2 linked regions of the Arabidopsis thaliana genome follow. The protein of the gene in region 1 interacts with the protein of each later gene in a biochemical or structural test. Each region holds a gene or a part of one and is shown in the gene's direction. Other genes may lie near its edges.

Evidence for each region.
Region 2: the proteins of RIC6 (region 1) and ROP1 form a complex in vitro, tested with the Arabidopsis thaliana proteins (one study listed by BioGRID).

What each region holds. Positions count from the first base shown.
Region 1 is NC_003071.7:8,807,764-8,812,218, reverse strand, and holds RIC6 (ROP-interactive CRIB motif-containing protein 6), read left to right. Parts: upstream 1-2,018; 5' UTR 2,019-2,437; coding exon 2,438-2,510; intron 2,511-2,754; coding exon 2,755-2,861; exon of another isoform or gene 2,862-3,049; intron 3,050-3,093; coding exon 3,094-3,552; 3' UTR 3,553-3,805; downstream 3,806-4,455. Other genes in the region: AT2G20440 (Ypt/Rab-GAP domain of gyp1p superfamily protein), read left to right, coding at 44-132, 225-330, 395-492, 655-900, 991-1,074, 1,165-1,185; AT2G20420 (ATP citrate lyase (ACL) family protein), read right to left, coding at 4,361-4,455. UniProt on the Arabidopsis thaliana protein: Functions as a downstream effector of Rho-related GTP binding proteins of the 'Rho of Plants' (ROPs) family. Participates in the propagation of ROP GTPase signals in specific cellular responses.
Region 2 is NC_003074.8:19,041,035-19,044,893, forward strand, and holds ROP1 (RHO-related protein from plants 1), read left to right. Parts: upstream 1-1,823; 5' UTR 1,824-2,162; coding exon 2,163-2,261; intron 2,262-2,351; coding exon 2,352-2,439; intron 2,440-2,530; coding exon 2,531-2,640; intron 2,641-2,723; coding exon 2,724-2,787; intron 2,788-2,867; coding exon 2,868-2,998; intron 2,999-3,079; coding exon 3,080-3,181; 3' UTR 3,182-3,359; downstream 3,360-3,859. Other genes in the region: AT3G51290 (pyridoxal-phosphate-dependent serine hydroxymethyltransferase, putative (DUF632)), read left to right, coding at 316-539, 629-1,382, 2,352-2,439, 2,531-2,640, 2,724-2,787, 2,868-2,998, 3,080-3,181; VPS35C (VPS35 homolog C), read right to left, coding at 3,600-3,813. UniProt on the Arabidopsis thaliana protein: May be involved in cell polarity control during the actin-dependent tip growth of pollen tubes. May regulate callose synthase 1 (CALS1) activity through the interaction with UGT1.

The sequences.
Region 1 (4,455 bases):
CTATATAAGAAACAGAACTGATCCACTTTGTCTATTCATGTAGGAATGAATGATATATGTTCCCCAATGATAATCCTCTTTGATGATGAAGGCGACGCTTTCTGGTGCTTTGAGCGGGCAATGCGGAGACTAGTAATAACTAATAGCCTATGACATAACTTCTCATGTTTCATGTCATTACCAGACCATTGTATTCACGGTTTATTGTTTTCTTTGAATTTCAGAGAGAAAATTTCAGGGCAACAGCAACATCAATGGGTGTCCAGACTCAACTGGGTGTGCTCTCACAGGTCATTAAGACAGTGGATCCTCGTCTCCATCAACATCTAGGTAAGAGTGTTTTCCTATCATAAAAACTCTTCTTGTGGTGGGCTAAAACGTGTTAATGTGACAGAGGATCTCGATGGTGGGGAGTATCTATTTGCTATTCGGATGCTGATGGTACTTTTCAGGAGAGAATTCTCTTTCCTTGACGCTTTGTACCTTTGGGAGGTAATGACAAACTTTCTGCATTTCTTTTCTTGGTTCCTGGTTTTACTTGCCGTGATTGTTTATGAAGCCGTAAGATCTTGCTGTGTGTTTATTATCTTCTTCTTTTTTGCGTTATCTGCTGTTTGGGTAATGAGAATAATGTGAGATGGATTATGGTTGCAGCTGATGTGGGCGATGGAGTACAATCCAACCATGTTTGCAACGTACGAGGAACTAGAAAACCGAAACAACGCAGCATCCGATCCCAAGTTACTAAAACGGTATGGCAAGTTTGAAAGGAAATACATAAACAGTGGGCAGAACGAGCAACATCGCAACACGCTTGCTGTTTTTGTGGTCGCAAGCGTTCTACAGACAAAGAACAAACGTCTCTTGAAGGAGGCCAAAGGCTTAGACGATGTTGTTCAGGTCTGTCTCTGTATCTTTTCACTCGTTTCTCTCAAAGCCAAACAAGGAAAAATCAAACTCTGGAACTTCAAAGTTAAAGTTGGTATGCAGATACTAGGAGACATTGCGGGTAATCTTGACGCCAAAAAAGCATGTAAAGAAGCGTTGAAGATCCATGAAAAATTCCTGAAAAAGGTTTCTTTCACTATCACTATAACTTGGGGAAGATATAATATGATATACAGTTATACTAATGCAGATGGTGTTGTTGTGTGTTTCTTGCAGGCTAATAGTAATAAGCAATAAAGATTTGCTCAAAACTTCTACTCGACGACTTTATATATCAAACATATACTAATACAGTTTTTGATCAGAAGATTGTTCATTGCCGGCCAGAAATTTTCTTGAAAGGTTCTGGAAGGAGATTGATGAGAATCCTCTGCTGAATAATTTTTTTTTTTTTTTTTAATTTGTTCATTTTCTGATGTTCTATGTATTTTGTGGTAAAATGTGTGCCGTTTTTCAGTTATACGAATGAACTACGTACGGGCCACTAACCTCTCCTTACATTATTTGACTCTTGGTGATATTTCTTTTTCACATTTTTCTGTTTTGCATGAATGTATAATCTTAAGAAAAATCGTTAAATGTATATAATGATTATTTTTTAATTAAAGTAAATTAATATTTTTATTTGCTAATAGCAAATGACATAGAGACATACAAAAATTGAGAGAATATTTTCGTCAAAAAAAATTGTGTTACAGCATATAATTCACACATTTATTAATTTATGTGATCTATGTGTGAGAATAAAAGAAAATTCATGTTTTTGTACCATTTTCTAAATTAATTTAAGAGTTTAATTAACACATTCTCTACATACATTGAAGTTTACTAAGATTTGGAAAAGAAAAAAAAAAACAGAGAGAGACAAAAGAAAATTAATGTTAATGATTATTCATTTGATGGAACAGAATAACGTAATTTCTATATACTAATTCTAATTTTTGATTGATTTCTGATAGTAATAGATAAACAAATTGTAACCATCAGATTAACGAAAATTTTGGTTTAAACAAACATTTTTGCACTCTTTTTTTGCCGTATCACCTGTATACGCTCTCAACCCATCATTCAAACAAACATCTTCTTAGTTTCCTTCATTTTTGATTCTTAGTTTCTTCGTTTGATGCTTTTTTTTTCCTCTTGGAGTACTCTGAGGATTTTGTAGGTAAATTTCAAAGGAATTTTGTTTATGTATTCTTAAATCTTTTCTTATTAGGATTATCAATTTGTTCTTTTTGATATATAGAAGAATCTGCAGAAAGATAAACCTACAATTTTCTGAGATGAATTCTTGTTTCTCTCTGAACAATATTTTGGAGTCTTGACTATATACACAATTTTTTTTATCTATCATTTTGTTTCCTCAATATTTACTGCCACCACTTTCTTATTTTCTGGGAAAAGTGAGTTTTCAAAACCTATCATTTTGTTCTTCTGTACTCCCATTTTTCTTATTTAAAAAAGAAATCATAAACCTAAAAAGAGATCTATGCAACTCACAATGTCAAGCTCCAAGATGAAAAGCCTCTTGAAAGGGCTCCGATACATTTCTCAAGTATTTGGTAAGTTCACCCTATAGATCTCTTGTTTAATTTCTTCTGATTTTTGTTCGCATAAGAGTTTATACATATGATAAATCCTTTTTTCCTTATATAAAAACTCGAACTTCATGATCAGTTTTGAATTACTATGATGCAAATCACGTAGAAAATTTGCATGCATGCATTGCAAGTACGTTTATATGGATTGAGGATGAATCTAAATGATTGATTATACTTTCTTGTTTCTTTCTTTTAATGATGATAGAAAGTGAAAAAGAAGAAGAAATACAAATCGGAAATCCAACGGACGTAAAACATGTTGCCCATATCGGTTGGGATGGACCATCCGCTAATGCCACCGCACCAAGCTGGGTATGTTTTTACTCTTTTCTACTTCTTTGGTAATTCTTAAAAGGCGTAAACAATAATCGTGATAAAATAGGCAAATGAAAGATTGTTTTATTATCCTACGCATATTTGGATGGATGTGAGCTCTAGATTAATACTTGACTCAAATCTACGAGGTCATATATATTAAAAATTTGACCTAAAACGTTTTCAGAAAATGTCGAATTGATTTGGTTAATGTTATGTGATTTGAAAGATGACTGAGTTCAACTCCGGCGGGGGATTCGAATCTGCTGAAGGAGTCGGAGAAGATGATTCCTCCATAAAATGTATGTCGGAATATGGTGGTCGGTCTAGAGATTTGCCAAACCTACCAAAATCTACGAGGAAAGCAGCGTCCGAGAAAGGTTCTCCGACAAAAGACAAATCATCAGACAAAACTAAACGTCGCTCTTCTAACAAAGGGACATCGTCATCGTCGAGGAGACCAAAGGAAGCCACTGAAGAACAAGACGAGTTGTCTTCTTGGCCTAGTGGATTACCGGAAATTCCAAAGAAATCTAGGAGGAAGAAGAAGTCGACGAAAGAAACCGCGGTTAATGGAGGGTCATCAAGATCGACAAGAAGATCTGATGTCGATAACATGTCGGAATATATGTCTGAGACTGGTTCTGTGAGATCTATGCCTCAATTCGACAATAGAGATGATTTTTGAAAGGAGAGACGACATATATAGAGACTTTGCTGCTAGCTCCAAATGGCTAATTTTCATTGAACACAACACACCAATTGTTAGATTTTCTTGTTCATTCTTGTACTATTATTAACTATGCAAGGAGAATTTAGACAAATATTTTTCGGTGCTATCATCCAAATCACTTGAACATAGATCATCATTGACGTCGATCATAAATATAAAAGAGCATTCTTACAGAACAAATCAACAGCATCTTTCACTTTACTAGAAACCCTATATATGAATAAAAACTTCTTGGACAAGAGCTGAGTAGTGTTAGTGTGATTTTCCTCTTCATCATAGCCCTCAGCAATAGAGCTGCATCACTACAACAATGGAGCTGCAATCCTGGTCAAAAGTTTTTGTAAATAATCTTCTTTCCTTTTGGTAATATAATTAACATTCTATCAAAAAATAAGTTTATCGTTTTGACCGTTAAATTGGAAACAGAGGACAGCTCTGTTTTGTGAAAGCCTTTTGTAGAGAGAGGGATTAATTTTGTTGTTTCAGTGACAGCTATAGTGTGGCTTCCCACAAAAACGATTTTTATTCATGATAGGAACAGTACGTATGAGATAAACTTGAAACCCTAGTATCAACCATATGAGTTGGTTAAATACAAAAAGATATTGAGAATTCTGATTTGAATCTCTTTGGATGGATCACACAAAAAAAGGAGACCAGTTCATTATTGATCTGTTTGAGGAAATGATATCCGCAAGAAAGTGTAAATTGGGCGTCAACCACAAAACAATTAACAAACCGGCTTTTGGTATATATAGAGAGATTAGTGAGCTAAAGCTTTAACCGCTTTCTCAGCTGCATCATCCAAATCATCAGCTGTTATGAGTTTCATTCCACTTTCCTTGAGGATTCTCTTTC
Region 2 (3,859 bases), on another chromosome or scaffold:
ATCTTTGATGTATCTTCATATGTTAAGTTTTGTGGAAAGAGTTTGAAAATGTTGTTTATATTCAGTTTGAAGTTTGAATATTGAAATTGCTTGCTTAGATTTCATCCAAATATGGATAAATGTTTTGTTTTTGGGAATTTGGTTGATTCATGTGGGCATTAAAGGCTTGTGGTGGGTCCAAGCGTGAGCAGATAGTGTAAGAGACCCACGTGTGTACTTAATTCTGATGAATAATGTGTTATGTACACTGGCACAAATATCTTGCCAAGTAGTGAGTGAGTGTTTGTTGTTTTTTGAATGTGGGTTTTGTTGCAGTATGCAGAGAGCATAAAGATGGATCATGAGAAGAAAGTGGAGCAAGTGAGGAGGCTTGAGATGAAGAGAGCTGAGTATGTCAAGACTGAGAAGGCTAAGAAAGACGTCGAGAAGTTAGAATCTCAGCTCTCAGTATCTTCACAAGCCATCCAAAGCGCCTCTAACGAGATCATCAAGCTCAGAGAGACCGAGCTTTACCCTCAGCTTGTCGAGCTTGTTAAAGGGTTTGTTTTGTGCATTCCCATTGCTTCATTAACCTAAAGTATCTTATGTTGGTCAATGTGAACAAGGTTCTTGTATGAATGTAATGTAGGCTAATGTGTATGTGGAGGAGTATGTACGAGAGCCACCAGGTTCAAACCCATATTGTGCAGCAGCTTAAGTACCTTAACACCATCCCCTCCACTGAACCAACATCTGAGCTTCACCGACAATCAACTCTTCAGCTTGAGCTCGAGGTCCAACAATGGCATCACTCTTTCTGCAACTTGGTCAAGGCCCAACGTGACTACATACAATCTCTCACGGGCTGGCTCAGGTTAAGTCTGTTCCAGTTCAGCAAGAATCCACTTGTTAGGAGTAGCTACGAGTCAAAGATCTACAGCTTCTGCGAGGAATGGCATTTAGCTATTGACAGGATCCCTGATAAAGTAGCATCTGAAGGGATCAAAAGCTTTCTGACAGCAGTCCATGGAATTGTGGCTCAACAAGCCGACGAGCATAAGCAAAAGAAGAGAACAGAATCCATGTTAAAAGATTTCGAGAAGAAATCGGCTTCGCTGAGAGCGCTTGAGAGCAAGTATAGTCCATACTCGGTACCTGAGAGTAGGAAAAAGAACCCGGTGATAGAGAAGAGAGTAAAGGTTGAGATGCTAAAAGGAAAAGCAGAAGAAGAGAAAAGTAAGCATGAGAAGTCAGTGAGTGTGACTAGAGCCATGACTCTAAATAACTTGCAGATGGGTTTCCCTCATGTCTTTCAGGCAATGGTTGGGTTTTCAAGTGTGTGTATGCAAGCCTTTGAGTCTGTGTACAACCAAGCTAAGAGCATCGGTGAGGATCAAGAGGAGGTTAAGAGGTTGCTTCCTTAAAGAGAGAAAGACAAATTGTTTTACCATTTGCTCTCTGTTTTTGCTTGATCCAAGCTAATCTTTTGGTTGAATGTTAGGTTGAGTTTATGCTGTTTTCGAAATGAAATTGGTTAAATGACTTTTCATTGAATCACTGCTTGAAACTTCATCAATTCAACTACTTCTTAGCCAAGTCAAATCATTGGAAGGTGACCTACCAAGGTATTATTAACATTGGAGAAGTGTTAGTTAGTTAGTTAGTGAGGTAGTTAAGGGGATTGCTTAAAGAAGTAAGCAAGTTTAATGATAATCAAACACTCGTGATGTGTACGTAACAGAAGAAAAGAGAGATGATTCGTTTGAGCGGCAGAAAAAGACAAGTGCCTAATTTGATTTCCCATAAATAAACACACAATCGATTGGTAATTTTGATTAGTTGGGAGCTATTAAAAGAGGAAATCCACAATAATCGGAAATAGAAAGACAAGTTTGGTTAGCGGAACGTTTCAACGCCATTTTTCCCGGCCAAAGCTAACTCTAACTAACTCTTTGTTTTTTTTCGGTTTTTGTGCCATCTTCCAGTTTTCATTTTTTTTGTTTCCCCTCTATCTTTTTGGGTAATAGGGTTTCTAATCTCTGGGACAAACTCCAATCGTTTCGAATCCGCAATGCCCAGATGGTCGATCAATAGAAATATCAAGAGTCTCCAATTCCAAAGGCTAAATCTTTGAGATCTTTTTTTTTATAAATTTCCCTGAAATTAATAAACTTTGAGGGGAAATGAGCGCTTCGAGGTTCGTAAAGTGCGTGACGGTTGGTGATGGAGCTGTCGGAAAAACTTGTTTGTTGATTTCTTACACAAGCAACACTTTCCCTACGGTTATGTCCCAATTATTCTTTCATGTTTCTTGTTTCATTACCACAACAACAACATATCTCATGTTTCTTGTTTCTTTTGTGGATATACAGGATTATGTGCCTACCGTTTTCGATAATTTCAGTGCCAATGTTGTGGTTAATGGAAGCACTGTGAATCTTGGATTGTGGGACACTGCAGGTTTTTCATTTTCCTATATATCTTGGTGTTTGAAATTTGGAATATGGTTTTTGGATCTGAAGATTTTGAAAATTTGGGTATGAATAAACAGGGCAAGAGGATTACAATAGATTAAGACCACTGAGTTACCGTGGAGCAGATGTTTTCATTTTGGCCTTCTCTCTTATCAGTAAAGCCAGTTATGAAAACGTCTCCAAAAAGGTTTTAAAAATCCATCAATCTTGTTTCATATTATTGAGTTTTCGTCACATTTTTTGAACTCTTGTCACAAATTGTGTTTGCAGTGGATCCCGGAGTTGAAACATTACGCGCCTGGTGTCCCCATCGTCCTTGTTGGAACAAAGCTTGGTGAGTTTTCCATTGTTTTTTCCTGATCTCGCTCCTTTTACTTTATTAGTTGTGACTGAGTTTGTGTTTTTGCTCTCCAGATCTTCGAGATGATAAACAGTTCTTTATCGACCATCCTGGTGCTGTTCCGATTACTACTGCTCAGGGAGAGGAGCTGAGGAAGCAAATAGGAGCACCTACTTACATCGAATGCAGTTCCAAAACTCAAGAGGTACGTAGATTAGTATATATACCCTTGTTGCAGATTTCTAATGTTAATGTTAATGCTAATGTTGATGATGTGAGAGTGCAGAATGTGAAGGCGGTGTTTGACGCAGCCATCCGAGTGGTGTTGCAACCGCCAAAGCAGAAGAAGAAGAAGAGCAAAGCGCAGAAGGCATGCTCCATTCTATGATGATTGGAAATCTCTGTTTTTATGTATTTGGTTTTGGTATATTAATCTTCTAACAATGAATGAATCAATGTGTTAATGGACAGACACCCAAGTTTGACTGGTCCTTTTTGTTCTTAATATTAATGGAGTTTGTCGGAATCAACGTTTCTTTTGCTTCTACGATTCAGTCCTATGCATAATTCCACACAAACACCACATGTTTTGAATCAGTTTTCATTCCCACCATTTCTTCAGCTGACCATATTTTGTATGTTACTGTTTTAAACTTTGCAAACATGTTTATTGGTAGAGAGTGTAACTAGGAAATGAAAAGTAATGATACAAGTTTTATTTCTCAAGATTACTCTTCATGCTTCTGCAACAAGACGAGAAGCCATTGATTATTGATGATTTGCCTAACAGAATGCAAGAAATAAATTCATTCAAACCATTCCATTTTGATTTTCTCGTATTTCTCATTCATGCCACCATCTTCTTGCTGTCTCTGAAACTCGATGTAACGTAGAGTACTATTTATGAATGGCTCTGCGCCTGACTCAACCTTCTTTGTCTCGCTTTTGATTAATTCAGCTAAGCTCTTGATTGTATCGCCTGTTACTTGTTGGTTTCCTTTCTCCAGGAAGTAGAGATACCTGCATTTGACTCGTAAAACCATTAAGAGAAAGCAGTGACAACTGG